Linked DNA regions of Callithrix jacchus. The main gene of each other region encodes a partner of the protein of the gene in region 2 in a complex. Links are inferred from orthologs where the notes say so. Each region holds a gene or a part of one and is shown on either strand. Other genes may lie near its edges. The genes, in order: GPR21, guanine nucleotide-binding protein G(s) subunit alpha isoforms XLas, HRH1, SCTR, HRH2, olfactory receptor 51E2 and FZD3.

Region 1 (4,024 bases), on a different chromosome or scaffold from region 2:
TATAGTCACCAGTATAAAATCGACAGCCAACAGCCTATCAATTGCTTTTTAGCTTATTTAAACACATTTTGCTATAAAAGAGAAATCTAACAATTCAGATATTCTAAATATAGACATAACACAAAGGCATGGGCAAAAATACTACAAACATGATCACTTCTATGCACACTTATTTTTAGATCTCTGTGAAGCATGGCACAAAAAATAGCTCAGTTTTTCATAAACTGTATAAGTTGATTGTACTTTTGCTTCATGGTTCACTGTAGAATTCTAAAATTAATGTTTATATGTTCACATTATTCACCCTACTGAGAATTCTCTCAAGAGAATAAAATATAGAACATTTGGCTTTCTAAATGACAGTGTTGAAACTTGCAGTGTAGTTATACTTTAGTATACATAAAAAGTAATTTCTAAAACTTCTTAATTTATGTTTTACTACTCCCTGTTAGAAGAAATCAATTGCACATGAAGCCCAAATAGCTGGAAAGAACCCAGAAAGTGACAAGAAAATGATGACTTTTTAAAATGCTGATGCTTTTCACACCCAGGTTCAGTCATGCCAGCTGGAGAGAGGTGTTAGATATGGCTTTATTCATTTTAAATCTGAGAACTGTAGTCATTTCCAAAACATTTCAAAAATTGGAACCAAGAGCAATTTGTCTTCATGATCTTGAGTCTTCAAAAGCACTTTTGAAAACCATTTCTACAAACTTAGAAGGTATCCATACAAACCATTTGTATGCTATTGCTTAGAGTCAAAGTATTCTGTCCCAGATTTTCTAGTGAATTAGAAATACTTAGAGATAAAACACATACATACACAGGGGAACTCCGTATCTGAGCCACTTCAGACATGACATCCATTAAGAGGGCCTTTGCTTCTAACCGTGTAAGGGTCGTTGGCTGTGGTCTGACTTGCACAAGAAGTACACATGGCCCCTGAGAGGCGCTTTAGTCCTCTTTGGAATACACTGTTGGAGAGACTATAAATGACACAGTTGCAGAAACTGTTACTAATAGCAAGCCAGGTGGTCAAGAAGGATGCGAAGCGATTGCTGTGGCCAGTGGAGCTTTCCAACAAGAAGTAGATGATATATGGCAACCAGAGGATGTAAAATACACTAGTGATTCGGAATAGGACCATGGCATAGCGCTTATCAGGACAGGCCTGCACTTCCCCAGTCTCCCCACTCTGGCTGCTGAAGCGGGCTTGCCTTTTGCTGATTTCCTCTGTGTGCTGTTGGCAGATGCGGAAGATGTTGAAATAGGTGAAGCAGACAATAAGGGCTGCTGGGGCATATAACATCATCACGATGAACAGGGTGAAGTAGGAGTCGGTGTGCCAGGACTCTGCACACCACTGAAACACATCTCCATGATATCCAGGTTTGCCCCAGTGGAAAAAGGAAGGCAGGAAGACCAGGGTCGAGTACAGCCAAATCAGGAATATACACAGGCGTAGTCTCCAGGGTGTAACCAGGGTATTATAGGTTAAAGGTTTAGTAATGGCAATGTATCTATCAATGCTGATACAAGCCAGAGAAGTCATGGAGACGCTCTTCAGAACTGATACTACGAAACCAAATATCTGGCAAGTCAAGGACTCCTCTACTGGAAGGGGGTGATGGAGGAGTGATAAAGAAGGGACCAGGCAGCTCATCCCAACAAAAAGGTCAGCATATGCCATAGTCTGGATAAAATAACTTGTGGTGTGATGGTTCAACAAAGGTGCACAGTGAAATACAAAAATCACAATGATGTTGCCAGAAATAATCAATACAGTTAGAAAGACAATAATCAATACTTCCAAAAGGCAAAAATTGACAGTTTCCAAATAGCCAAATGCCAAGAGGCAAAAAAGGTGGCTGCTCTGATTACCATCCAAGGTGGAGTTCATCTTGAGCTCTGGAGTGATCTGTCACTTCATGCTGCCGCTTGGCTGCTTCCAACAGTTCAAAGGAGCAGCCGCTGTCATTGCGGTCAGCTTTGCATGTATGTAATAATGCCAGAGGAGCCTTAGTCCCCAAGCTCCTGATGCTGCTGCTGTGGTGCATTGCCTGCAGTGCAATTCCCCTTTAAATCCTTCTTGGAATAAGGAGAGCCAGCAGCAGTTGTCTGGCCAGTTCCAAACGCGGCCATAATGCCAAGTTCATCATACACATAGCACCAGGGGAGTAAGGCAAACTCTGGGGACAACGTCTTCAGGCCAAGTGAGGGTAGGGGGAAAGGGCAGAAGAGAAGGGAAGAAGATTAGGAGCTTCAGCAGGAGTTGTAATGAGTCTCCTCTGAACAGCTGATAGAAGAAAAGGAGAGAGCATTTTACATTTCACATCCAATGCCCTAATCAAAGAACCTGGCTAGCTCAGGCTGGCATCATCCCTCCCACTCCACCCCTACCGGCACCACTATTCATGGCTACCCACAATAGCACCCCATATAACTGATCCGTACGGTATAGAGTAGCAGCAGCAACATCAAGCTTTCAAGATCAGCATAAAACAAAATGAATCACGGTTAGATTGATTTACCCCCATTTCCTTTCATTTGAGACATGGGAGAGAAAAGAAATTTGCTAGCAACATTTATGAAAATCTTTCACTACACTTATCACTAATAAAATTAGCCAAGATAATTTATTTTCTTCACTGATTCCAATATAATATTTTGCCTCTTTGAAAACATTTCAACAGAATTTACTGTTTAGTTCAATTTCAGAATGTTACCTGTAATTCTGCATGCTGCAATCCAAACAAAAGCCACAATACATCCTTAACAGAAAGCCTTGCAGAGCAGGAATGTGCTTCAACCCTGCCTACTGCAGAACTGAGACACAGAGGGAGGGGATAAAGGAGTAGGAGGGGAAACAGGGAGAAGAGGGGGCTTGGAAAAAGGAAGAAAGGGGGAGGGGAAAGAAAACGCCTGTACACGCACACACACTGGCATCTTTAGCAACTAATTGGAATTCATCGTCAAAGAGGTGCCCCCTGATTTCCAGACTGCGCAGTGTGGGAATAGCTTGGTACGCCTATAGTATATCATTTGAAAGCTGTTTCCTCGTCTGTTTGGAATCCCTCTTTTAGTAGATAAGCAGAATTCAGGCTGCTAGCAAGGAGAAGGGGTAGTAACAGAACAGGGTGTCAGTGTCAGTAATTAGACTGAAACACACTGCTAGAGGGGTACTTCCTATTTTCTTACGGCATTTTCCCAAAGAACAAAGAGCAATATTAAAGAAAGGAAGCATGTTAACTTCCTTTAAGTGTATGGCGTATGGCAACTGAGAAACATAATTCAGCTGTACAAGAAGTTCTAGCTAGAAGGCTATTCATTAATTTTGTCTCTCATGATTCACTGAATATTGGCCAAGAAACTTTAAAATCACTTTTCAAGAGAAAAATAAAGTATCTCCTATTCTGAATACTACAGAAATAGCACAGAGAAATTACATCGTTCCTGTATTTGACACTACCCTATAGTTTTGAGACGCTGTTTCTTGCTTCGATTTTGCTGAGCAGTATACAAGAATATAAATAAAAGACAAAAAAGAAAATGTACCTTCTTCTATTCAGGCATGAATATTACAGGAAGTTTCATGGCACAAATAAGCCTTTGTATCTTAGAATATACAATCTTGTTTCTGCCTACTTAAAACAATGCAAACTGGGATTAGATTGTGGTTTTCCTGGTAATGTCATAAATGTTGACAATTTTCAGCTAATAGAATGCTATGAAAATGTGTAATTTTAGTATCTTTTCCTCCAGGGATCTCTGAGACAATAAACAAATGTTGGTGTTTGAAAGCATTCCAAAAGGTATGCACCTGAGCAAAAACATGTGATCCAACTTTCGTTTTTACTCATTTTATACACATTTTCTTATTACAGATAAATGGGCACCCATAATCAGAATGCAATGAATTACATTTTAAATCCGAAGCAGCAGCAGCTGTCTGGCCAGTCCCAGATGCAGCCATGATGCCAAAATAAAAACCTACTTAAGCATAAGCCTGATAGTAATATTTGAC
Region 2 (4,240 bases):
GGATCGCCCCGTGCGGTGGTTCGCTCGCCTGCGGCTGGTATACAGCGGCCCGCGCCATGCGCCCTGCTTGCTGTAGCCCGCCCTCTGTAACACTGATCCAGCCTCTTCTCCCCCAGGGTTCTGCAGACCAGGTGACACCCTACCCAGCTGCTCTGTGCCTAAACGTGGCTCAACAGTCTGTCAATCACTGTTGAGACAGACCCGATACGCCCCTAATCACTGTTGAGAAAGACCCGATACGCGCCTGCCGGGTTTTACGTGACCCCTAGCAACAGCTTTTCTCAGGGGCTCAAATCTCTCTGCAGACCCCAGACCAGAACACAGCATGTGCACGCACCAAGGCCACCAGGTGATGTGGGTGTTTACCTTCCGCTGGCTCTGAGCCCACCGCAGCACGGTAGCGGGAGCGCAGCTGCGAGGGCAACCGCCGGGTTTGTGGCTGGATGGCGGGCTCAGTGCTACCTCAGCCGGCTCTTGCAGTGGAAAAGTAAAGGGCTACACTAAGATACCCAGAGCGAGAGGAGAGGGGCTGGAAGGGTGCTGGAGACAGGCTGTAGTGGGGCTAGAGAAGCGGACTGACCGGCTCTGCGGCGGGCGCCTGAAGCTGCGAGCCACGCACCTCAGCTGTGGTTGCCGCGCGGCACGGTGTTTATCAGTGGGTTCAGTGCGCACGGCACAGTCCATTCTCCGAAACCACCCCAAACCGGCCATAAACCGCAACCAAAATCCCCTTTAATCCTTCCCTGGAACAGTAGGACCTGTGAAACTCTGAGACCAATTTGTGGGGTTCCCTTTGAGCAGCACGGGTCCCACCCCTCCATCGGTACCACCGCAGCTACTGCCTAGGGGGCTTTGCTCGCGGCGGTGCGCACCTGAGACCCTCTTATTCCCCTGCGTCACCATCCACATAAACGGCGGAGCACCCTGCCTGCACCGCTATGGGCTACTGTAGAGACCCCTAGAGTGTGATGGGGATGGGGTCTCTTAAAGTGCTTTACCGGAGCCAAACTCAGCGAGCGACAAGCAAAAGCAGCAAAAAGTACACCCAAGGCATTTAAAAAACACATTATGCGCTCGCACACTCGGCATCCCCTCGCCCTCGCCTCTCTCTGCTTCTCTGGTGGGCCCACGACCACCTGTCGCATCCCTGTGCACACCTGCGCCCCCTTCCCAGGCACCAAAAGTCTTGCGCTCTGGACCAGGGACTTGAGATCCAGGGCTGCCTGGAGGCTGGGGGCTATGACTCAGGGGTTCGGGGGTGTCCTGGGGTGATGAAACCCTTCTTCAGTCCCCCTCCCCCGAGGAGTCTGTTGGGTTGGGGAGGGAGGGTTTCAGCTCCTGTACTCCAGCGTCCCGAGGCCCACGTCTTGCGTCACGTGTCCTGCAACGCAGGAGATCTTTCTCTGGACAGGGGAGAAGCGAGGAGAAAGACTCCAAATCAGTCGGAGAGAGGAGTGGAAGGAGCCAAAACATCCCTGCGAGGCCTGCGCTCATCAGCCCCCTTACCCAAAGTCCTGGGCTGCTGGTGCCGGGAGCAGGCTCCTGGAGCCGGAGCCAGCTTGGCACTGGAACCGGCGTCCTCTGGTGGCAGAGAGAGAGCGCTACTGGCGATTTTCGGACCGAATCGGCACGCTCGTCAGATCCAAGCAGGCGGGACTGGCCTGGAGCAGAAAGAAAAAGAGAGGAGGGTATAAGGACAGACCAAGGAAGAGGGGCTGGAGGTGCAGCCTAAGGGGATAAAAAGTGGCCTGGAAGGAACCAAGACTCCACCAGTAACAATTGGGTTGCTTCAGCCTCGGTCTAGGGTTCCAGGCCCTGAACCCCCCAACCTCACAAGGGTTGGAAAGTGAGGCTGGAGAACTTTCCAGCTGGTACTTTGATTTTTTTCTAAAATTTTTTTTTCACCCTAGTTCGGTTGGGTGCTCCGTCCTACGGAGCCCCAAACTTATTTTAAGAAGCCGCCACCGTGTTATGGGCGTGCGCAACTGCCTCGACGGCAATAATATGTCAGGACAACACGATATCTCCCCTGAAATCGGGGAACAGCCCGAGCAACCACCTTTGGAGGCCCCAGGGGCAGCTGCCCCCGGTGCTGGGCCTAGCCCAGCCGAAGAGATGGAGACCGAACCGCCTTACAGCGAGCCCATCCCCCTCGAGAATGACGGCGAGGCCTGTGGAACCCCAGTGGTCTCCAGGCCCAACTTTCAGGTTCTCAGTCCGCCCTTCAAGGAAGCTGGAGCCCATGGAAGCTACAGCCCACCTCCCGAGGAAGCCATGCCCTTCGAGGTCGAACAGCCCAGCTTGGGAGGCTTCTGGCCCACACTGGAGCAGCCTGGATCCCCCAGTGGGGCCCAGACAGGCCTTGAGGCCTTCGGCTCAGCACTCATGGAGCCTGGAGCCTTCGGTGGTGGCAGACCAGGTGTGGGAGGATACAGCCCTCCACCAGAAGAAGCTATGCCCTTTGAATTTGACCAGCCTGCCCAGAGAGGCTGCAGTCAACCTCTCTTACAGGTCCCAGACCTTGCTCCAGGAGGCCCAGGTGCTGCAGGGGTCCCCAGAGCTCCTCCCGAGGAGCCCCAAGCCCTCAAGCCTCCAAAGGCTGGCTCCGGAGGAGGCTATAGCCCTCCCCCTGAGGAGACTATGCCATTTGAGCTTGATGGAGAAGGCTTTGGGGAAGACAGCCCACCCCCGGGGCTTTCCCGAGTCATCGCACAAGTCGACGACGGCGGTGGCCAGTTTGCGGCAGTCGCGGTCTCGAGTGCGGTCCGCCTCACTCCCGCCGCGAATGCGCCTCCCCTCTGGGTCCCAGGAACCATCGGCAGCCCATCCCGAGAGGCTGTCAGACCTCCTAACTTCACCAGCAGCAGCCCCCCGATGGAGATCTCCGGACCCCCACTTGAGATTGGCAGCGCCCCCGCTGGGGTCGACGACGCTCCCGTCAACATGGACAGCCCCCCAATCGCGCTTGACGGCCCGCCCATCAAGGTCTCCGGAGCCCCAGATAAGAGAGAGCGAGCAGAGAGACCCCCAGTTGAGGAGGAAGCAGCCGAGATGGAAGGAGGCACAGCCACCGATGCCACGGAGGGAGGAAAAGTCCCCTCTCCGGGGGACAGATCCCCTGCCGCCGGGGCAGCCTCAGCGGATCCCGCAGCCAGGGCGGCCCCTGCAGCCCCAGCCGATCCCGACTCCCGGGCAGCCCCAGCCGATCCCGACTCCGGGACAGCCCCAGGCAGTCCCGACTCCCGGGAAGCCCCAGCCGATCCCGACTCCGGGACAGCCCCAGCCGATCCCGACTCTGGGGCAGCCCCAGCCGATCCCGACTCTGGGGCAGCCCCTGACGCCCCAGCCGATCCAGATGCCGGGGCAGCCCCTGACGCCCCAGCCGATCCTGACTCCCGGGCAGCCCCTGACGCTCCCGGCGCCCCTGCGGCTGCTGAGACCGGGGCAGCCCCTGTCGCCCCAGCTGCGCCTGACGCTGGGGCCCCAGCTGCCCCAGCCGCTCCTGCCGCCCGGGCAGCCCCAGCAGCCCGGGCAGCCTCTGCAGCCCCTGCCTCCGGGGCCAGACGCAAGCTCCATCTCCTTAGACCCCCCAGCCCCGAAATCCAGGCTGCCGATCCGCCTACTCCACGGCCTACTCGCGCGTCTGCCTGGCGGGGCAAGTCCGAGCGCAGCCGCGGCCGCCACGGGTACTACGATGAAGGGGCGGCCAGCAGCGACGATGACTCCAGCGGAGACGAGTCCGACGATGGGACCTTCGGATGCATCCGCTGGTTTCAGCATCGGCGAAACCGCCGCCGCCGAAAGCCCCGGCGCAACTTACTCCGCAACTTCCTCATGCAAGCCTTCGGGGGCTGCTTCGGTCGATCTGAGAGTCCCCAGCCCAAAGCTTCACGCTCCCCCAAGGTCAAGAAGGTACCCCTGGCGGAGAAACGCAGACAGATGCGCAAAGAAGCCCTGGAGAAGCGGGCCCAGAAGCGTGCAGAGAAGAAACGCAGCAAGCTCATCGACAAGCAACTCCAGGACGAAAAGATGGGCTACATGTGTACGCACCGCCTGCTGCTTCTAGGTAATGCGGCGGACTCTGCCTGTCGGCAGCAGGGCCGCCAGGGAACCGGGGAGGGGGTGGCAGGGCTGCCCGGTGGGACGCGCGGGGCTCGGCAGTGGGAGGAGGGGGTTCAGCCAAAGGCAGGAAGAGCCTGCTAGAAAGTTCCAGGGAGGGACCCTAACTTTGCCCTGGGAG
Region 3 (3,973 bases), on a different chromosome or scaffold from region 2:
TCGACCTCTCTCTCCCAGTTCTGGAAAGGAAGACAGCCAGGAAGAATCCTCAGGCTCCCAGAGCCAGGGACAGAGGTTCCCTGGGACTTGCCGAGGGGCCTCACCCTAACCCCACCACTCCCCTCACCTCGCTGCCCAAGATGGCACAGGATGCTAATTAAAACACAGCCTATTGGCCGGGTGTGGTGGCTCACGCCTGTAATCCCAGCACTTTGGGAGGCCAAGGCGGGTGGATCACGAGGTCAAGAGATCGAGACCATCCTGGTCAACATGGTGAAACCCTGTCTCTACTAAAAATACAAAAAAAATTATCTGGGCATGGTGGCGCGTGCCTGTAATCCCAGCTACTCGGGAGGCTGGGGCAGGAGAATTGCCTGAACCCAGGAGGCGGAGGTTGCCGTGAGCCGAGATCGCGCCATTGCACTCCAGCCTGGGTAACAAGAGTGAAACTTTGTCGCAAAAACAAAAAACAAAAAAACAAAAAACACAACCTATTTTGAAAGGCGGACCCATTCATCAGGACAGGCTAGGGATAAATAGAAGAGAAGTGTGACGTTACAGACCCTGGGTCTCCTTAGTTCCCCACGAAACCTCTAGGGGTAGGGTCCCTATCTGTCAATCTTGTTCCACCTTTGTCTGACTTTGCCTTTTTCCATTTTGGCGCCCCTAGCAGGAATGAGGGAGGGGCACGGGTATCACTATCTGTTTTTTTCAGTCTACCTGTGATTGAATCTGCCAACAATTGTTTCATCTCTATTTCCATCTCTGCCTCTTTGTCTTGATTTATCTGTGTCTGTCGTTTTGTGTGCCTGCAAGTGCGTGGGTGGGGATGGAGTTGTCGCACCAAGGTTCTGACCCTTCTGCCACCTGTCTTTCCAAACCCACAGAGCCATCCACCGCGCAGATCCGCGCCCGGGTACCCAGCAGGAGCAGCTCCAAACCTGGGGCGAAAGCCTGGAGAGGGTGTCCGAGCGAGAGGCGCGCCCCTCGCGTTCCCACCCTCTGCGGGGGCGGCCCTGGGCGCGTGGAGCCGGGTGCGGGGACGCTGCAGGCCCTCAGGTCCCGGGTCCCCGCCTTCCCCGCTGCTTGCGGGTGGGCCCCTAGGCGCGGCTCCTCCTCCTGCGCCCCGCCTCCCCGAGCTCTCCCCTGCGCCCCCGCCGCCGCCCCCGAGGCACACCGAGCAGCCTGGCCGCCGCACCACCAAACTTTCCCGGGAGCCAGCGCCGGTGAGTCGCAGCGGGGCACCGGCTTGGGCGGGAGCGGGGCCGCCGCAGCGAAACGAGGCAGCGCGCTGGCTGGGCTGGGATCCGGATATCCCTGCCGGGTGGCCGGGACCCCGAGAGCCGGCGGTTTGAGATGGGCGCTTGGGTACCCTCGCGACACGGGTGGCCTGGGTAGGGTGGCGGAGCGCGGTTCGCTCGGTGGCACCGCTCCCCTCTCCGCATTGTGGCCCCAGCACTCGACAGGCAGACACCTTTAGTTTCCCCAGGCTTGGGCAGGGTGCGCGCCCTGAGCGTCAGTCTTTGGCTCCAGCGCCCAGAGAAGGAGCCTTGTCTTCTTTGAGCCTCCCCAGGGTCTGAGTTTGCTGTTAACCCTAGTGCCAGCCCATCGGTTGAGAGCGTTCTCTGTGCAAGGCTTTGGGCATACATTATCTGTTGCAATTCTCCTTGTAACTCGATGAACCGGGTATTGTTATACTAATGTTACAGAGGAGGAAAGTGAGGCTCGGGGAGGCAAAGTTGTGCCCAGCAGCACCAGCTGCTTAAAGGGAGAGAGCCAGGGTTTTGATCGGAGTCATCCTGGCCCAAATCACTTGACTACACTGGGGTGAGCCCCAGGCTCAGTGTCACCTGGAGTCGGAGGTGGGGGGTGTCCCGACCACCACCCACCCTCCTCCTGCAGTTTGGTGGCAACTGGGGGTGTGGAGGAAGAGGCGGATCACCTCCTCCTCATTGTACTCGAAAGAGGATGCTTTGGGAAAATGAGTGGATATTATGGCCAGGGAGTGGATTCCGGTGACAGAAGCGCACCGGAGCTGCTCTTTTAGAGATCAGATTCTGGAAGTTGCTCTCAGTTCTTCTGGAAGGAGGCCAGGAAGCCAGGAGCAGGAGCCAGAGTACAGCAGCTCCTCAAGGAAGCCACCTCTCCCTCTCTGTTGCCCGACCCCCTAACCCCCAGTCCTCCATGAAGATCCCACTCCTCCCCTCCTAAATCCCTGATCCCTCCGAGATGTCCGCTTGCCTGGCAGCTGGTCATGCAGAGATGTTCCAGGCAGAGTAGCCATCCTCCAGCAGAGGGCTCCCACCTCAGACCGGAGCAGACAGGAGGGGGCAGCCTGGAAGTCCCAGTGAGCAAGGTTCCCAGGCTGGAAGGTGCCTGAAGATCACATTTCATGATTGAGGGGCCAGAAACTAGTGACAGGAGCACAGACACACTGTGTCCCTGGAACATGAAGAAGAGGGGAATTGAGGGTCTTATAAGAAGGGTCTTTGGAGACAGCCAAAAACCAGCAGGGACTGGAAGAGAGGGAGGGCGGACACATGAGAGCATCATTATGCATTATTTCACTTAATACTCACACCATTCTTGCGAGGTAATTACTATTACTGAACAGATAGTCTACTGAGGCTCAGAGAGGTTAAGTGGCTTGCTTAAGATTGCCCAGCTGGCCCATGGCAGAGTTGGAGTTTGAACACCCATCTTGCCTGACTCCCTCTAGATTATGAATGAAACTCAGGTGGCAGGTGGGACCTTAGGTCCTTCTGTGCTTGTGGCTGGCAGCAGCAGAGGTGAATAGAGGGAAGCCAAGCAGCAGGTCTGCTGTTCACAGGAATCCCGGACAGCCCCATGTAAATCCCCAGTGTGATTCAGGCATTTCTCCTGGGGAGAGTCTATGGAGAAGGGCAGGGGATATCTAGCATTGATTTTGTTTTCAAATGTGACAGAGAATCCCGTGGAGGCAGGAGATGGGCAGGTGCCACCTGTTCATGATTTCAGAGCTGGGTGGAGGCCGGAGTTGCCTGCCAAGAGACCCTGCACCCCAGAGTAGCTTGGCCAATGCTGGGCTGGGAGTTGTCCTTCCTAGCACTCAGCTGAGGGTCTAAGGGAGGAGGAACTTGTACATGAGTCTCTTCCTCTTAAGCTCTCTGAATTCTGTGTTTGCACTTTCCTCTTCACAATGGAGTGTCTGGCTTTTCCTTAGCAGAAAACACATAGCAAAGACATCAAGAGTGTGGGATTCTGAAGCTCACCTGCCTGGATTCAAATCCCAGGACTGTTGCTTGTGAGTTTTGTGGCCTTGGTCAAGTTGCTACATGGCTCTGTTCCTTAGTTTCTCTGTTTTTAGAATGGGGGTATTCCTGGCACCTTCCTCCCTGGGTTGTAAGAGAATTCGGTGTGTTGATGTGCAAAAAGCACTTGAGTGGTGCCATGTAATACGTGTCAGTGTTAAGAGTCAGTTGTTATTATTGTCTCTATCAAGGTCAAACAGTCCAGCTCTGTATCCTGGCTCTGCCCCCTGCAGATTGCCCAGCCTCTGCAGGCCTCTTGCCTTCTCATCTGTAAAGTGAAAGTAAGTCTGATTAGATAGAGTGTGTGCCCCCGAAGTCTTACTGTAGTCTCAAGCTTTAAATAGCCTGAAACTTGAAGTCTTAGTGTGGACCCATATAAACTTCTGACACTCTGCTAGGCACTCAGCAGGCGTTGGGCATTGTCACGAGTGTCACTTGTGTGGCTGATATTGCTGCTGCACAGTGCAGCTTGAACTTTGGCTTGGTTCCGAGGAGCATGGCTTGGGACAGTTTTCAATCAGATGTTTTCTAGAGGGACAGAAAGCTTACGGTGGAACCTGAGCTCTGGCCCTTAGAACCGAGTGACTATGGGCTTTGGTTTCCTCATCTGCAAAATGCCATTAGTTCTATTTGCCAGTATCTATTTATCCAGATTAATGTTAGGTTGGAAATGTGGAGAAAAG
Region 4 (3,500 bases), on a different chromosome or scaffold from region 2:
TGTTTCATCTCTGTCCCTACGTACTATCCCCATCTTTTTAAGTAAATTCAAGACATCATGTTGTTTGATCTGCAAACACTTTAGTATGTATTTCTAAAAGGCAGGGGCTTAAAGAACACACACAACTAATAACACAATCTCTGTCGTACACTCTTTTTTTTTGAGACAGAGTCTCATTCTGTAACCCAGGCTGGAGTGCAGTGGCGCAATCTCGGTTCATGGCAACCTTCACATCCCGGGTTCAAGCAATTCTCCTGCCTCAGCCACCTAAGTAGCTGGGATTACAGGCATGTGCCACGACACTCAGCTAATTTTTGTATTTTTAATAGAGACGGGGGTTTCACCATATTGGTCAGGCTGGTCTTGAACTCATTGACCTCGTGATCTACCTGCTTCAGCTTCCCAAAGTGCTGGGATTATAGGCGTGAGCCACTATGCCTGACCTTCATATACTCTTTAAAAATGTATTTAGCCTTTCTGATTGTATAAATAATGCTTGCTTATTGTGACTAATTTGGGAAATAAGGAAAAGTTAAAAAAAAAAAAAGAAAAACAAGAAGAAAAAAATCTATAATCTCATAACCCAGAAATAACCTCTGTTGGTGTTTACTTCTGTCTCTTTTCTGTCCACAAAGACACACATACACACACACACACACACCCATAACTGGGGTCACGATGTGTATGGTTTTGTAACCTGCTTGTTTTGTTTAATTCTCTATCATGCCCATCATGAACATTTCTTTATGTCATTAAAATTCTTCAAAGTCTTCATTCTTAATGATCGCAGAATCACTGTGGAAATTAGTAAACTTGCTGTCTTGTGTGAGGCCTGCCCTATATACACTGTAGCACAGCTAATTCCCTCCCCGAACAGTGAAAAATGTCCTTGGACCCCAAGGCAGGGGAAGCCAGGCAACTGCAGCCCATGTGGTGGGCAGCACCCTCGGCCTGCTCGTGGCTCTGGGCCAAGCACACAGAGCTCCAGGCGTGCCTAAACCTCTTCGTGCCTCAGTTTCCCTGCGTGTAAGGTGGAGATCTTCCCACTTGCCTTGAAAGGCTTTGGCAAGGATTAAATGAAGCCCCTGGGACCAAGAGTCCTACAATTACTCAGGCCTAGCTGTGCTCCAAGTCTGTTTTGTTTCAAAGCCTGTCTTGAAGTGCCTTTTACTCTCTTTGACAGTAGTTTCCAGATCATGATGCCCGTTTATTGAAACTATCTGGGGATCTATAAAAGCTGCGGATACCCCCAGATATTGGGAACTGGGGACTGCAACCTGGACCAAAGGTCTCAGGTGATTCAAATGTGCGACAAAACTTGGAAACGAATGCCCTGAGTGTTTTTGCCCCTCAAATAGTCCCCAGTCTATGCAGCGGTCATTGATACCTGAAATTCTAAAGCAAACCCCTTCAGTTTTGCCACCAACTTTTGTTAAAATGCCGATATCCCTGAGAAGTTGTACAGATTAAGCCCACCAATGAGCTGATGAAAGACAGGTGGGGAAGTGAGCCTGCAGCTGGTGATTAAGAGACCTGGGGGCCAGGCGCGGTGACTCACACCTGTAATCCCAATACTTTGGGAGGCTGAGGCGGGTGTATCACCTGAGGTTGGGAGTTCGAGACCAGCCTGACCAACATGGAGAAACCCCATCTCTACTAAAAATACAAAATTAGCTGGACATGGTGGCCCATGCCTGTAATCCCAGCCTCTTGGGAGACTGAGGCAGGAGAATCACTTGAACCCCGGAGGCAGAGCTTGCTGTGAGCCAAGATTGCCTCATTGTGCTCCAGCCGGGGCAACAAGAGGGAAACTCCATCTCAAAAAAGAAAAAAAAAAAAGAGAGAGAGAAAGAGACCTGGGGAGGGCGCAGCTGGCTAGCTGGCTCAGGCCAGGTGGGTAGGGGCTGAGCACCTGCAGTAACCCTGTTGCCTCTATTCCTCTGGCAGGGACTGGTGGTGGCTGTCCTCTACTGCTTCCTCAACGGGGAGGTGAGTGGTCTTGGGTCACTCAGGTACCCCGGAGAGCTCCTAGCCATTGGGTTCCAGGTCAGAAGGAGCTACCTGGAGGGGTGGTGGGAAGGGGGATGGAAAGGGTTGGAGGGAATCCTGGGTCTGGTGGCGAGGGGCTCGGCCAGTTCTTTTAGGAGTCTGAGCTTGCTTAATGGGAGGAACAGAATCACCTGGAGGGATGTTAAAACCATGGCTGGACCCTGATCCCGGTTTCTCATTCCACAAAAATAAATTCTGTAGGTCTGGGGTGGGGTCTGGGAAAGTGTTTTTTAACAAGCACTCCTGGTGCCGGTGTTTATCTGTTCAGAAAATGCAGGAAGAAAGTTGGGCAGATCCCAGGTTCCTGACTGCCCTGCTGCTTGTTCAATGGGCGATCTCATCACTGCCCTGCTCTGGGCCTCAGTCTTCCCACGTGCAAAGTGGGTGACTCAGAGGAACTGTCTGCAGCTCAGTCCTTAGGGATCTTCAGATGAGCATGGACTCCTTGGGAGACTGCATACTCTAAGGACTCAAGCCTCGCATAGAGCATTTGGGTCAGGACCCTGGCTCTGGGCATACAGAGCTACGTAGTCAACATGAGCTAGGCCTTTCTGTGACTACCGACCATCTATCTGGTTTGCTGCACTTGAATGGGAATGACCTTTGATGTTTCCCAAGAATCAAATATCAAGCCTAGCCTCAAAGGTTCAGCTGCTCCAGCTGGGAATTGTGAAGTAAATTTACAAAGAGCAACTCCCTGGGTCCCAGATGAATTCTGAGCTTGGGTGGCTTCATGGGAATAAGTATCCAGTTGTCTCAGGTGCACAGTCCTTTCTTTGGGACATAATGTAATGAGATTGCAGGTGCATATGCCCAGGAGAGAGGGGACCCTCAGTAACTACTGGACATTGGGGCTGAAAACGGTCAATCTGAGTAGCCTGCAGGCTAGGGGACAGGTCAGCTGGGCAGGAGCAGCAGGGCCTGTGTGGAGTCCCCAGGGGAGTGAGTTGGGTTCCAGGCACAGAACTGTCCTCTCCTCCTGGGCTGATGGCTGGTCTCCGGTCTCCCGGGCAGGTGCAGCTGGAGGTTCAGAAGAAATGGCAGCAGTGGCACCTCCGTGAGTTCACAATGCATCCCGTGGCCCTAAACTCTTCCTTCAGCAACAGCACCAAGGCCAGCCACTTGGAGCAGAGCCAGGGTACCTGCAGGACCAGCATGATCTGAGAGGCTGGAGCAGAGCCACCCATGGACAGAGACCAAGATGGGTCCTGAGAAGGCTGGACACTACTGCAGGACAGCCTGTTTTCCCAGAAGACACCCTATGTCCTCCTTCAGCTGAAAATGCCCCTCCTCAGGCCCTGGACCCCTCAGAAGGGACGTGGGGCACTGTGGGGCAGGATAAGGCCTGAGATTTGGTTTGTTTGCTCTTATGGGAAGAGTAGTTCAGGGGTCCCAGAAAGGGACAGGGAAATAAGTGGTGCCTGGGACAAGATTTGGTCTATATTTGTCCA
Region 5 (4,162 bases), on a different chromosome or scaffold from region 2:
AAGGTCTTGAAGCAGGGAAGTAGAAAGGCATGATCTGATTTACACTTTTCAGAGATTATCTGAGCTGCTTTGTGAATTGCAGGTGAGCAAGAGAGACATCCAGAAGACCAGTTTGGAGACTCATGTCATTCCAAGACGACAATGACTTGGATGCACAGTGCAATAATAGCCTCTCCAGAAGCTGTGAACTGAGAGCTAGGGGACCATCTTCTGCATTGCAGCCCCTGGCACAGGGCTGGTCCATGGTGACAGAATGGCTTGAGGTGGTGCATCAATCAGCGGTGGCATGTGTCTGAAATGCATGCTAGCTGAACCCTCCTCGCTTTCGCTATCCTTTGCCAAGCTTCCATGGAAATCCCCCTCCACACACCAGGTTCCCCAAGCAAACCAGGGCAGCCCAGCTGACCGCCTGCCTCCCCTGCACTGGGCTGCTGTCCAGGCCTGGCGAAAATCTCACCATCCTGCCCACCCAGGCTCCCTCCACGGAGATCTGCGTGGTTAACACAGTGGCCTTGATATCTTGATATTTAAGAGATGGGTTTTCCCAGCTGAGCCTTCATTTTCTCATCTGGAAGGTGGGCGTTATTCTCCCTATCCCCAAAATCCCTTTTCCGAAAGCCTACTTCCTTACTTCTCTCTCTCTCTTCATCCCTTCCTTCAATCAAAACAAAGCCCTAGGGTTTTTGAAGTTTTGCTGATTTATTTTGTGGTAATTAACAACCCCTGGACTAATTAATTTCTGCATTTGTGTTTCTAGATTTCAGATTCCAGAATTATTCAAGCTTTTCCCTCAAAACTAGTTATTTCCCCCTTCTAGCCTGACTCCACCTGGATCCTAAGTGCCCAATGTGAGGGATGCCACCTGACCTCCTGGATCTAGCGCCCACCCAGGGCAGGTCCTCCAGCTGTGGCCACTCAGCCAATATCTGCACAGGTGGACGCTGGGGCTCAGACAGAACGGTTGCCCGGTCAAGGGCGGGCCCTTGACCAATCAGCAGGGCGGGGAGAGGGAAGGAGCCAGGGGGAAAGGGGAGAGAAAAAGGGGGCAGTGTGACAGAAAGGAAGAGGAAGGGGCAAGTATCAGAGTCCGCGAGATGAAGAGGGAGGGTGTAGGAGAAAGGAAAACAGAAAGTGGGTGAGACTGTGGAGGTGTAGGCTGGGGGAGAAAATGTGGGTGTGTGCGCGCTGAGAGAGAGAGAGAGAGAGAGAGAGAGAGAGAGAGAGAGAGAGAGAGAGAGACAGGAGACTTGGAGAGGGAAGGAAGGGAAGGAGCGTTGAGAGCAAGGAGGAGCGAGTTGGGGGCGGAGACGAGGAAGTGGGTGCGAGGCGCGGGGCGCAGGCCGTGCGCGCGCCGCCTGCTCCATCCCTGCCCGGAGCGCAGCCGGTGCGGGCGTGGGATCAAGGCAAACCCGGTGCGGAGCCATCGCCAGCCGCAACGGAACCAGGTAACGCGGCCGCCGCCTCCCGGAGGGGCTTCGGCTCTGGGTGGGGTCCCGGAGGGTTTGGAGACCCTGCTTGAGCTTGCGGCGCCGCCCGTGGCGCTGCTTCGGGATGCCCAGTGGCCATCGTGGCCCCGAACCCGGGTTCGAGCCCCGGCCCCACTGCTCGCTGGCTGTGCCTGACCTTGGGCAGGTGCCTCCGCCTGTCCTGCCAGCCTGTTTCCTGTGACCCGCGGGGGTCGTGCCTGCCCCAAGGGGGAGTTGAGAGCTCGGGATGCAGTCCCGGTCCTCAGCAGTGCTTGGGGCGCGGGTCGGCTTTGTGTCTCCTCTGCAGGCAGAGGGGTGGATTTGGAAAGTCCACTTGCGCCGAAGCACTCCCCGTTTTGTCCCCGGGTCTGGGTGGTGGCATTTTCTCGCGGCGACGTGTCTGTCCGAGCATGGAGCAACTTTCTGCTACAGGGAAGCCAGCGGAGGGCGGGGGGGCTGGTGGGGAGGGGGCTTCTATGCCTCAGGGAACCAGAACGACCTGCCTTCATCCCGCTGGGCTGCTGCCTGCTGCCCGACGCCCGGAGCGTCGGGAGGCAGCACTCAGCGGTTGGGAGTCCTTGCTGAGGACATCTGGAGGGGGATTTGCCTGTGGGATGAGCCGCGCAAGTGGCCTCTGATAGGAATCCCAGTTTGGGCAGTGACCTTGAGCTTGAGAGCCTCAGTCAGTTTCCTTCTCCATGAAAAGGGCCATACTAATCCCCCACCCCTCCGTGAGGTGTTGGGAGGCGAAGGAAGTGGGGCAGGAAAGTGCCTGTGTGCTGTGATGTCCCCAGCGGCAGCTGTCACGCCCTAGCTCAGGTGGGTCCAGTCCTGGCACCAGTTACCTCCTGGGAAGTCATCTGTACGCTTTAGATCCCCTCTGTGTTCTTTGCCAGAGATGGTCAATCAGTGGAGCTGGGTGGTAGCTGGGTGGTGGTGGGCATGAAGCAGGACCTAGGGGATGTGGGGGGCCCAGAAGCTCCAGCCTCCACTCCACACCTATCCTGAGGCTGATGCTCCTCTAAGACATGACGTCTCTCAGATGGCAGTTTCTGTCCTGTGAAGACCCCTGGCATAATCTCTCAGCACCTCAGTTTCCTTATTTATAAAATGAAGTTATAAATTCCTACCTACTAATGAGTTTCCTGTCCCTGGAGGTTATCCAAGGCAATTGGATAGATTACATTTTTTGACATCTCTGGGTCTGGATGGTGGCATTTTCTCCTTATATCTGACCTAGGATATAAGGAGAATTCCGTATCATGAGAAAATAACCTATCTCGAGAACCTGCTCCTTGCAGGCCTGGTACTCGGTGCATTGCAAGTACGGCACTGGCTAGAGCCACCACAGCAATCCTGGGAAACTGGTGCCATCAAACCACAATTTACAGATGAGGAAACTGAGGGTCCCAGAGGTAAATGATTGCCATGTGGTCATACTGGTAAGAAGTGCCTGTGCAGAGACTGGATCCAAGTCTGCCCGCCTCCAGGATGCTCCTGGTTGTATCGTGCTGGCCCCAAAATATGACTGTATAAGTTAAGGTGGAGCACAGGGCCTGGCACCTGGCACGTGCACAATCAGCTCTGGCTTCTTGTTCCATGTGTCATGGGAAGGGCTGCTACAAAGCACTGGAGAAAGAGAGCCTGAAGGCTGGCAGCAGGGTTGCCGCACTCTTGCCAGTGATTTCTCGAAGGGTCTGGAAGGAAGGAAGGTCACTACTCAGTACTACATAGGAAGCAGATATCAGACTGACTCACCCGAGCCCACCAATTTCTCTGCTTCCTCCATCACCTTGTCCCAGTTAACCTTGTCTGTATTCATCTCAGCCTAGGCTGATTCTCCTGAGCTCATAGGCACATCCCACTCTCCATCCTAGGCTGATGATTAACCACTGACCCTCCCAGGCGAGGAGTCCATGGGAAAAACAAGACCAGCTGTGGTCCATCTCCGCCAACACCCCAAAGCAGGGGAAACAGGATTAAGTTCCAATCCCAAGGATTTAGTTCAGATTTGAGGAAGAAAACCCTGATGATGGGGAGAAGGGCGTCCCAGCAGGCTAGAGAAGTTCCTTTGCCAAAAATGTTTTAAAGAAGAGGAGTACATCCAAATGAAAGGGTGGAGATATGAACAAAGCCTCTTTCATGTGCAGAGATGTTCACCAACAGTCACAGAGTGTCTAAATGTCCAACAGGGAATCAATAAAGTTATGGAACAGCCACGTGACTACCGAAAGTGGAGAGTTTTTAATGAATGGAAACGTGTTTTGCATAGGCATACAGATGGCAGGGTCCCAAATGTGTGGCAAGAGCTTAGAAAAAAGACTGGGAGGACATAGGCTAGAGAGGGTTAACAATGTTTGCCCACAGATGGTGGGGTCATGGGAGATTTGTTCCCTGACTACTTTTTCTGGACTTTCCAGAGTTTATGCAATGAACATGTTCTTTAATAATTAGTGGCCTACCTGGCTTAGAGTTTTGAGAGCAAGAAGGAGGGTGCCTGATTGAAAAAAAGAGGTACTGGCTGGGTGTGGTGGCTCATGTCTATAATCCCAGCACTTTGGGAGCCACCAGAGGTAGGTGGATCATAAGGTCAGGAGATTGAGACCATACTGGCCAACATGGTGAAACCCCATCTCTACTAAAAATACAAAAATTAGCTGAGCATGGTGGTGTGTGTCTGTAGTCCCAGCTACTCG
Region 6 (4,062 bases), on a different chromosome or scaffold from region 2:
ACCCATATCTTCCATTGTGTTTCCTCCCCTTAGTCCTGGCCTACACACATTGACTAACTGCATGACTTTGGAAGCCACTTTACTGCCTCTGAACAATGAAGCACAGTTTAGTGCTCACATATCTATATGCTAGCAGAGCCCATCATCAGTAGACATCAAGTACCTGTGGTTCCCTTCTCCTAAGAGAGCCTATGGTATAGAGTCTCCCTTGTGGTTTATCTACCCAAGTCCAGAACCCAAAACCTGTTTAGTGAAGCTACAGAAGGAACATATAGGCCCAACGATTGTGTTAAGATTTCAGCCGCTCACTGGATCTACTTTACAGTACAGTGGGAATATCCTACCTTGAAAAAAGATGCATTCAGCATCCTTACCACTGTGTGAACGATTCCAGTCAGGATTCCTGCACTGGTGAGAAAGAAGACTAGGAAATCTCTCACATCTCCAATTCTGATTTATAGGATTCTATAAATGTAAAATCAATAGGTATAACACTCAGCAAAACTTAAAATAAAATTTTATTTTATCTCATACTTAAGTTCAGACAATAGCATGTGGTGTACATTCAAAATTTTTGACAGGCACAGAGCACATTAAAAAAATGAAGACATGATCAAGGATCAGATATACCACAACATTCTCCCTGAATCTGGAAAGAAGCAAGCAATAAGACCATGAAAGGTGGCTGTCATACAGGAAGAGTATTCTAGATTTGTTGTCCACAGCTAGGGCAGGGTTATCTCTCACCACAAGTACAGAGCCATTGGTGTTAGCGTATAGCAGAGAGAAAACAGAGGATTTGTACAGCTGAGGAAATAAATGGCAGATGTTACACAGGAAGCAATATAATATGGTAGTTAAGTAACTGTATTCAATTATCCAATTTAATTTTAAACCTTGGCACAATGCCCACAAGCTGTGTGACTTTAGTTCCCTTGCTAATATAAACTTAATTTCTCTCAATTATAATAAAGGGACTCAAATGGTACCTACTCCATAAAATTAGGAAGAGCACATAAAACCCATAAAGCACTTATCATAGTGCCCAGAACATTGTAAGTGCACATGATATATTCATAGGCATTATTATTCAGGGCTTTATCAATTCCCAGATAATGCATAATAACAGTAGAGATTGTGACAAGCCCTGGCTTCCATAAATTGGTCAGCTTAATTTTTGCTATTTCATTTGATATGAAACTATATTTTATGCTTTGAGACAGGGTCTTGCTCTGCTGCTCAGGCTGAAGTGTAATGATGTGATTCTGGCTCACTGTAACCTCAAACTCCTGGACTCAAGTGATTCTCCCACCTCAGTCTCCTGGGCAGTGGGGGCTACAGTTGCATGCCACCATGCCCAGCTATTATATTTCCTCTTTAAAAAGTTGTACATGACAGTTAACCAATACTTTCATAATAAAAAAATTGAAAGTAGAGACAACACTAAATCATTAGTAATCTGAGCACATTTCCTCCAAGGCATATGCTATTTTTCAACTTGGTTTCAATCAAGTATCTTTATTGTTTTTCTTAACATTATAAGCTTGTTTGGTTTTATAGTTCTCATTAAATCACATAATACTCCATTAATATGTATTATTCCACATAATAGTCTTCTAAGTAGATGGATCATATTTTTGTTGATTATTCCATCCAGAGAAAAGCACTCATGTGCTTGTGGGCAACTGGAACTAAGCTAGTGTTATAAATAATTATGTTTGTCAAGCCATTGAAGACAAGGGGAAGTGTAACGTTAAGGGTCACTTGCCTCCCACAGCCTGAAGGTCCTTGTCACAGCTGATCTTGAACATAGCCAGCACCCGCGTTCTGATATGTTTGGTTTTGGCGCCGTAGATGATGGGATTGATGACAGGAGGCAGCAGCAGGTAGATGTCACCCATGACAACACGCACAATGGGATGAAGGCTGTTTCCAAAGCGGTGTACCACTGAGAGGCCAATAAGTGGCACATAGAAGGCAAGTACCACACCAATGTGTGACACACATGTCCCAAAGGCCTTGGCCCGCTCTGACTTGGAAGGCAGTTGTAGCACTGTCCGTATTATCAGAAAATAGGATAAGGAGATGAACATTACATCCACGCCCATGACCAGCAGAATGGCAGTAAGACCATATACCACATTGGGTAATGTGTCTGCATAGGCCAACTTCATCACATCCTGGTGCACACAATAGGAGTGTGAGAGCACATTGGAGTGGCAGAAGGCCAGTCTCTTGATGAGCAGAGGCAATGGGAAAAAAAAGAGGGATCCGCGGACCACAGCCACGATGCCAATCTGGGCTGTTACTGTATTGTTGAACACGGCAGCATGGCGCAGTGGGTGGCAGATGGCCACATAACGGTCAAAGGCCATGGCCAGTAGGATGGTGGATTCAATGGCTGAGAGGGCATGAATAAAGAACATCTGGGTAAGGCAGGCCTCATAGCTAATCTCTCGGGAATCAAACCAGAAAAGGGCAAGTATCTTAGGCATGGTGGATGTGGATAAGGCCAGGTCAATGGCTGCCAGCATGCAGAGAAAGAGGTACATTGGAGTGTGCAGGCTGCGTTCCGTTCTTACAATGAAGACCACGATGCAATTTCCAAATACTGCCATGACATACATAGAAAGGAGGGGGAAGCCAAACCAGAAATGGGCTTCCTCTAATCCTGGGATACCAATAAGCACAAAAGTGGCATGTGTAAAGTTGCAGGAACTCATAGCTGGAACTGAGGAGAGGTGACTGGAGAGGGTGAGGTTGCACCGGCGGTCTGCAGGGACATAGAGCACAATCAGAGAATGCCCTGGAATCTTGAAACTGACATCCTACCCCTTTTGTCTCCTCCCACCCCAACTTAGGGTCTTTCATAAGCCCTGAAGCCCTCTTCCAAAGCGGGGACTGTGACAGCTCAAATTCATTTATGCGTCACTACTTTCAAGGTTTATTTAAAATTTTAAAAGGCAACCATGAGAGAGCAATCCTTTTTCCAAAATGTAGCCTTCTCAAATTCCCTCAGATACTTCCTGCTGGTCTATAGCTTTGGTGGCCCTTTTATTCTGATAGGTGTTAAGAGATACAGTTTTGGAAGCTCCTTCCAGATAAGGCTGCCTTTCTTATGTTACTTTCCGCACATTCCTCCCTCCCTCCCTCCCTCCCTCCTCCCCCCTCCCCCTCCCCCTCCCTCCCTCCTCCCCTCCCCCCTTTCCTTCCTCCCTCCCTCCCTCCCTCCCTTCCTTTCTTCCTTCCTTCCGGGAGAGGCATGATCACAGAGGAATCTTCCTATTTAGACTTGAAACATGAGTTGAAATTAGACAGAGAGTGGAATAATGGGTCTTCCAAGGCAGTGAGGATAGGAGATAACTTTGCAACTTTCAGGATTCCCAGTCCTCAATTCTAAGGTCAGCCAGAGGAATAAGATGCACAGCAATGGCATTGTTTTTTAAAACTTAAAAGAATATAAATAAACAAAAACCAAGAAAAATAATTCCAAAAGTCAATCTTTTTAGGATTAAAGGAAACTCATCTGTGGTCATAAAATCAAAAGTAGTGGTTCCCTCCAATGACTTCTTCATAGACAAAGGTGCTGGCAGGATGGCAGGACACAGGTGAGTACCTCCACACCCAAAAGCTTCCTACAAGGCCATTTGAATTGCATCCAAGGATAGTTTGAGTTGAGTCCTTACTTTGGGAGAAGTATTATTAATTTTACAATGATATTTTTAGAGCCTTGTCTTTCCTGAAACTTGTGCCAGTAAGTCATTCATCTCAGGGGGAGACATTTCTTTTTTAGAAGCCCAGTGTTTCTTTACCTCAACTCCGTACCCTCACCCACACACCTGGGCTCTGACTTCATGAAACTTCTTCTCTGCTAGGTTTCCTAGGTGACCTAATCTTTAGAGATAATTTTCTCTAAAAATCCAAAGCCTTGGCTGCAAGAAGCAGAGGCTCTAACTCTTGGAAATAAACTATGCAGGTGTCTTCATTGATTATCTGTCACTGAAACAGGTTAACCTGCTTATATTGCAACCCCCCACCCCAGAATTCTTCACTCATCATCCG
Region 7 (3,500 bases), on a different chromosome or scaffold from region 2:
TAGTCTTCTTTGAACCATTGATTTGAAACCCATACCTGTTTGAAAAATAGATTAGTCTAAATGAAATTTTTGAAATTCTTGGTGTTACTGTATCCGTATTCAACAGGGAGTAATGTTCCCTTTAATTTTTTTAGTTGCAAGTAAATGAACATGCTACATGAGCAATAAACTACAAAGACCAAACTTACATGGATATTTTAAAACTACAGTCAAATAAAACTTTCAACAGTTATTTGACATATTTAATGATATGCATAATTGTTACTGTGCTGTATGGTAATTAAGATAAGTATGTTTTTAACTGTGGTTAATAACAGTTTTCTATAGACGACCTCAACATTTGTGGGGAGAAAAAAAATATGGCAGGCCAAGAAGCTGTTTCAGAAATTTCTGGTACAGAACGTATGGGGAGTTTGAAGGCGTTTTGAGCAGGGTTTGCTTTTAACCTCATTTCCTAATTCTAGGGACCGCAGACTTTTCTTTTTCTCTTCTGTTAGTCAAGACCGTCTACTAAAGGGAGAAATGGGGAAGATTCTGCCACTGTTTTACTTTCTCCCAATAGTTTTCTGCCTGGTAACTGAAGCTTGGGACATAGAGGTCCCAATCATTGATAATGTGCAAAGGACAGTTTCTTTCCCTGCTTAAGTCAAAGCAGTTCCAGGTTTCATGTCTAAGTTATCATGGGTGCTAGTATTTGAGTTGTCCTATTCATCGGGATCTTTGAGAATTTCTGAACCTGAATTTTTCATCTTTTCCCAACCTAGGCTCACCACAACAAACATATTCAGTGCATATGAAACAAAATGAAATAAAAGCAAAGTTAATATCATTACTAAACCAAATCAAAATGTGATAGGTTAGAATGTGTTTTTTTCATACCAGACCTGCCCTCCATTCCATCCATACCCTCTCAGCTCTGATTGAGAATCAAATGTATTTTTGCCCCTGGCAAGTACATACAAGTTAGAAATTCTAAAGCTCCATGGAACTAATAACTGGGCATTTTTCCTATTTCTGCTGTGACTTTTTAGGGATGATTTCTCTTCTCTGTGCAGCATGGCTGTGTGTAATGACCATTTGTTGATGAAATATTCCTAAGTCTAGTGCTCCATCTATGCAACTAAATTTTTGTATTATCTTAAAAAAAATGTAATATTGTGAAAACTTCCTAATATTTTAGAACCTTCTATATGTCAGTTCAGTATTGGTTGATAGAGGTAGCATTTGTATAAACTTGTTCAGTGATTAAAATGTCTAATGTTTAATACTGAGTTACCATTTATAAAGTATTTTTGCATACCTTATCTTATGATTCACTCATATCATCCTTGTGAGCAAGGTGGTATTGGAATCATTTTCAAGAAGAAAAATTCTGGGTGCATAGAACTTAAGTGGTATGTTTACACAGCTAGAAAGAGGCTTGAATCTGTATTTTTTGACTTAATTTTCAGACCACTTTCACGGATGTCTTCTGCCACATCAGTTAATGTAAAAATATACTATTAAAGATTAAAACATACAATTTTAAGTTCGATAATTTAGGTTGTAAGCATAATATATATCATTTAAATAAAATTTAGGACAATAGCATAAGAATTTTTCAAAATGGGTCAATTATATATTGTGGCCGTTGAAAGATTGTCATCGGCTGGGTGCGGTGGCTCAAGCCTGTAATCCCAGCACTTTGGGAGGCCAAGGCGGGTGGATCACGAGGTCAAGAGATCGAGACCATCCTGGTCAACATGGTGGAACCCCGTCTCTACTAAAAATACAAAAAATTAGCTGGGCATGGTGGCGTGTGCCTGTAATCCCAGCTACTCAGGAGGCTGAGGCAGACTTGCCTGAACCCAGGAGGCGGAGGTTGTGGTGAGCCGAGATCGCGCCATTGCACTCCACCCTGGGTAACAAGCGTGAAACTCCATCTCAAAAAAAAGAAAGATTGCCATCATAGATGAAAAGTTAAACCATGTATTATAGAAGCAACTAAGGGAAGAAAATTAAATTTGCATTTAAATACTATTTAAGGATCATTTCAGCTATAGCATAAATGATAAAGTAGAAAAATTAGGTCTATAAAGTACCCATATATTGTTAACTGTTAGGTCAGTATAATATCTCTCATCAAAGATTTTTAATGTCAAGTCCATAATACTTTGAGAGGAAATGACTAACGTCTCTCATTTTTAAAATAATACTTTTCAGATATTTCAGTCGAAGGAAGAAATAGCTCTTCTCCTAAGATGGAATCTGTGGTTTGGGAATGTGGTTGATCAACTTGATTTGTTGGCCAAATGTGCCCCATGTAATAAAATGAAAAGAAGAGACAAGATGATGTCATTTTCCCATGTTGTGAAACCAAAAACAAACGCCTTTTGTGAGACCAAGCTAACAAACCTCTGACGGTGCGAAGAGTATTTAACTGTTTGAAGAACTTAACAGTAAGATATAGAAGAAGTACCTTCAAGCTGAGATCTGCAGGTGTATAAATATCTAAAATACATATTGAGTAGGCCTGATCATCCGAATCTTGTTCAGATCCGGGAAGGATGGCTGTGAGTTGGATCGTCTTCTGTTTTTGGCCCTTGACTATGCTCATGGGGCATATAGGTGGGCACAGTTTATTTTCTTGTGAACCTATTACCTTGAGGATGTGCCAAGATTTGCCTTATAATACTACCTTCATGCCTAATCTTCTGAATCATTATGACCAACAGACAGCAGCTTTAGCAATGGAGGTAAGACTTGATCTATTATTTGACGTATCTTAGTAAGTGACTCTTAGGTTGGCCCATCAACCAGTCTAATGAGTATGTTTGACAAACAGGAAAATAATATGCTATTTTAAATTATATCTTAAACATTTAAAATTTTATACGTTTTGCTTCAGACTTTAATAGATTGAAGAATTCATGTTTGGTGAATGTTACTTTTATATTTTAGACATTATACTTTTATAAAGAAATTTGAAACAACAGAAAATGAGACATTAATAGCCATTAAGAAGTTTAAATTTTAAGAATAACTCCCAAGCAATGAAAAAGTGTTTGTCCGTATGAGTTATCTGTTCTTGATCTCACAGAATTTTATGAAAGTTTGCTGCCTTATTTGAATTTTTTAATGGTAATTCTTCAGCATTTTAAAATGATTTTAGTTTAGAAACCATTTCAAATTTAGAAACTATGAACACTTTAATTGATATAGTTAATAATAGGTTTAATTAAGTGTATGTATGCCTATAAGGGTTTTGGAATTGAGGACAGGAGTATATATACCAGATAAGAACTAGGAGGCAGCAAAAAAAAAAAAAAAAACAGAACTAGGAGGCAGTAACCAGTGGTAATAATAGCATAGGCTTTGAGTTAGACCAACCTGGGTTTGAATTCTACCTCTACCACTTTCTAGCTGTATACTTTGGCCAAGTTATATCAATTTTCTCTTACAAGCATAGTTTCTTTGCTTGTAACTTAGAGGCTTCTGTAAGGCACAAAGTGAAAATACAT

Evidence for each region.
Region 1: the proteins of guanine nucleotide-binding protein G(s) subunit alpha isoforms XLas (region 2) and GPR21 are in contact, whole or in part, in a cryo-EM structure (PDB 8HMV), measured with the Homo sapiens proteins. The link is inferred for Callithrix jacchus from reciprocal best matches to the Homo sapiens genes GNAS and GPR21. Residues at the interface, in NP_000507.1 of Homo sapiens: Gln35, Arg38, His41, Val217, Pro321, Asp323, Arg342, Asp343, Leu346, Arg347, Thr350, Tyr358, Cys359, Pro361, Phe376, Cys379, Arg380, Asp381, Ile383, Gln384, Arg385, His387, Leu388, Gln390, Tyr391, Glu392, Leu393, Leu394; in NP_005285.1 of Homo sapiens: His61, His62, Thr64, Arg127, Ala130, Ile131, Thr132, Pro134, Leu135, Thr136, Tyr137, Asn138, Thr142, Pro143, Ile214, Ile217, Cys218, His221, Thr222, Asp224, Ile225, Arg228, Gln229, Arg231, Phe232, Arg249, Tyr250, Val253, Leu254, Asn308.
Region 3: the proteins of guanine nucleotide-binding protein G(s) subunit alpha isoforms XLas (region 2) and HRH1 are in contact, whole or in part, in a cryo-EM structure (PDB 9LRB), measured with the Homo sapiens proteins. The link is inferred for Callithrix jacchus from reciprocal best matches to the Homo sapiens genes GNAS and HRH1. Residues at the interface, in NP_000507.1 of Homo sapiens: Gln35, Arg38, Ala39, His41, Lys216, Val217, Asn218, Phe376, Cys379, Arg380, Asp381, Ile383, Gln384, Arg385, His387, Leu388, Gln390, Tyr391, Glu392, Leu393, Leu394; in NP_000852.1 of Homo sapiens: Asp124, Arg125, Ser128, Val129, Gln130, Pro132, Leu133, Arg134, Leu136, Lys137, Arg139, Thr140, Ile213, Ala216, Val217, Gln219, His220, Cys221, His223, Lys412, Ala413, Gln416, Leu417, Cys471, Asn472.
Region 4: the proteins of guanine nucleotide-binding protein G(s) subunit alpha isoforms XLas (region 2) and SCTR are in contact, whole or in part, in a cryo-EM structure (PDB 6WZG), measured with the Homo sapiens proteins. The link is inferred for Callithrix jacchus from reciprocal best matches to the Homo sapiens genes GNAS and SCTR. Residues at the interface, in NP_000507.1 of Homo sapiens: Gln35, His41, Val217, Phe219, Thr350, Tyr358, Phe376, Cys379, Arg380, Asp381, Ile383, Gln384, Arg385, His387, Leu388, Gln390, Tyr391, Glu392, Leu393, Leu394; in NP_002971.2 of Homo sapiens: Arg174, His178, Tyr239, Leu240, Leu243, Leu244, Ala245, Ser247, Phe248, Ser250, Glu251, Arg252, Leu320, Lys323, Thr326, Gln327, Thr329, Arg339, Arg342, Ser343, Leu347, Tyr388, Leu391, Asn392, Gly393.
Region 5: the proteins of guanine nucleotide-binding protein G(s) subunit alpha isoforms XLas (region 2) and HRH2 are in contact, whole or in part, in a cryo-EM structure (PDB 9IXJ), measured with the Homo sapiens proteins. The link is inferred for Callithrix jacchus from reciprocal best matches to the Homo sapiens genes GNAS and HRH2. Residues at the interface, in NP_000507.1 of Homo sapiens: Gln35, Arg38, Ala39, His41, Asp215, Lys216, Val217, Asp343, Leu346, Arg347, Thr350, Tyr358, Phe376, Arg380, Asp381, Ile383, Gln384, Arg385, His387, Leu388, Arg389, Gln390, Tyr391, Glu392, Leu393, Leu394; in XP_006714928.1 of Homo sapiens: Arg116, Ala119, Val120, Met121, Pro123, Leu124, Arg125, Tyr126, Pro127, Val128, Ile205, Val208, Ala209, Gln212, Ala213, Arg215, Ile216, Ile219, Ser220, Trp222, Lys223, Lys231, Ala232, Thr235, Leu236, Leu291, Asn292, Arg293, Asp294, Arg296.
Region 6: the proteins of guanine nucleotide-binding protein G(s) subunit alpha isoforms XLas (region 2) and olfactory receptor 51E2 are in contact, whole or in part, in a cryo-EM structure (PDB 8F76), measured with the Homo sapiens proteins. The link is inferred for Callithrix jacchus from reciprocal best matches to the Homo sapiens genes GNAS and OR51E2. Residues at the interface, in NP_000507.1 of Homo sapiens: Gln31, Gln35, Arg38, His41, Asp215, Val217, Phe219, Tyr358, Phe376, Cys379, Arg380, Ile383, Gln384, Arg385, His387, Leu388, Arg389, Gln390, Tyr391, Glu392, Leu393, Leu394; in NP_110401.1 of Homo sapiens: Met58, Tyr59, Asp120, Arg121, Ala124, Ile125, Cys126, His127, Pro128, Leu129, Arg130, His131, Ala132, Leu135, Asn136, Asn137, Ile220, Thr223, Val224, Leu227, Pro228, Ser229, Glu232, Lys235, Ala236, Thr239, Cys240, Lys294, Thr295, Lys296.
Region 7: the proteins of guanine nucleotide-binding protein G(s) subunit alpha isoforms XLas (region 2) and FZD3 are in contact, whole or in part, in a cryo-EM structure (PDB 8JHI), measured with the Homo sapiens proteins. The link is inferred for Callithrix jacchus from reciprocal best matches to the Homo sapiens genes GNAS and FZD3. Residues at the interface, in NP_000507.1 of Homo sapiens: Lys34, Tyr358, Gln384, His387, Leu388, Tyr391, Glu392, Leu393, Leu394; in NP_001399840.1 of Homo sapiens: Arg232, Lys318, Ser321, Glu322, Leu397, Val400, Lys408, Lys413, Leu414, Phe417.

What each region holds. Positions count from the first base shown.
Region 1 is NC_133502.1:171,660,020-171,664,043, reverse strand, and holds the start of GPR21 (putative G-protein coupled receptor 21), read right to left. Parts: upstream 2,801-4,024; 5' UTR 2,727-2,800; intron 2,297-2,726; exon of another isoform or gene 2,203-2,296; 5' UTR 1,901-2,202; coding exon 851-1,900; 3' UTR 1-850. UniProt on the Homo sapiens protein: Orphan receptor.
Region 2 is NC_133506.1:54,421,010-54,425,249, forward strand, and holds the start of guanine nucleotide-binding protein G(s) subunit alpha isoforms XLas, read left to right. Parts: upstream 1-1,440; 5' UTR 1,441-1,971; coding exon 1,972-4,066; intron 4,067-4,240. UniProt on the Homo sapiens protein: Guanine nucleotide-binding proteins (G proteins) function as transducers in numerous signaling pathways controlled by G protein-coupled receptors (GPCRs).
Region 3 is NC_133516.1:68,377,143-68,381,115, forward strand, and holds the start of HRH1 (histamine H1 receptor), read left to right. Parts: upstream 1-1,173; 5' UTR 1,174-1,226; intron 1,227-3,973. UniProt on the Homo sapiens protein: G-protein-coupled receptor for histamine, a biogenic amine that functions as an immune modulator and a neurotransmitter.
Region 4 is NC_133507.1:104,042,776-104,046,275, reverse strand, and holds part of SCTR (secretin receptor), read left to right. Parts: intron 1-1,947; coding exon 1,948-1,989; coding exon of another isoform or gene 1,990-2,214; exon of another isoform or gene 2,215-2,355; intron 2,356-3,063; coding exon 3,064-3,213; 3' UTR 3,214-3,500.
Region 5 is NC_133503.1:68,048,740-68,052,901, forward strand, and holds the start of HRH2 (histamine H2 receptor), read left to right. Parts: upstream 1-1,362; 5' UTR 1,363-1,445; intron 1,446-4,162. UniProt on the Homo sapiens protein: The H2 subclass of histamine receptors mediates gastric acid secretion. Also appears to regulate gastrointestinal motility and intestinal secretion. Possible role in regulating cell growth and differentiation.
Region 6 is NC_133511.1:70,104,858-70,108,919, forward strand, and holds olfactory receptor 51E2, read right to left. Parts: upstream 2,768-4,062; 5' UTR 2,724-2,767; coding exon 1,761-2,723; 3' UTR 501-1,760; downstream 1-500. UniProt on the Homo sapiens protein: Olfactory receptor. Activated by the odorant, beta-ionone, a synthetic terpenoid. The activity of this receptor is probably mediated by G-proteins leading to the elevation of intracellular Ca(2+), cAMP and activation of the protein kinases PKA and MAPK3/MAPK1.
Region 7 is NC_133514.1:13,195,532-13,199,031, reverse strand, and holds part of FZD3 (frizzled-3), read left to right. Parts: intron 1-2,202; 5' UTR 2,203-2,546; coding exon 2,547-2,735; intron 2,736-3,500. UniProt on the Homo sapiens protein: Receptor for Wnt proteins.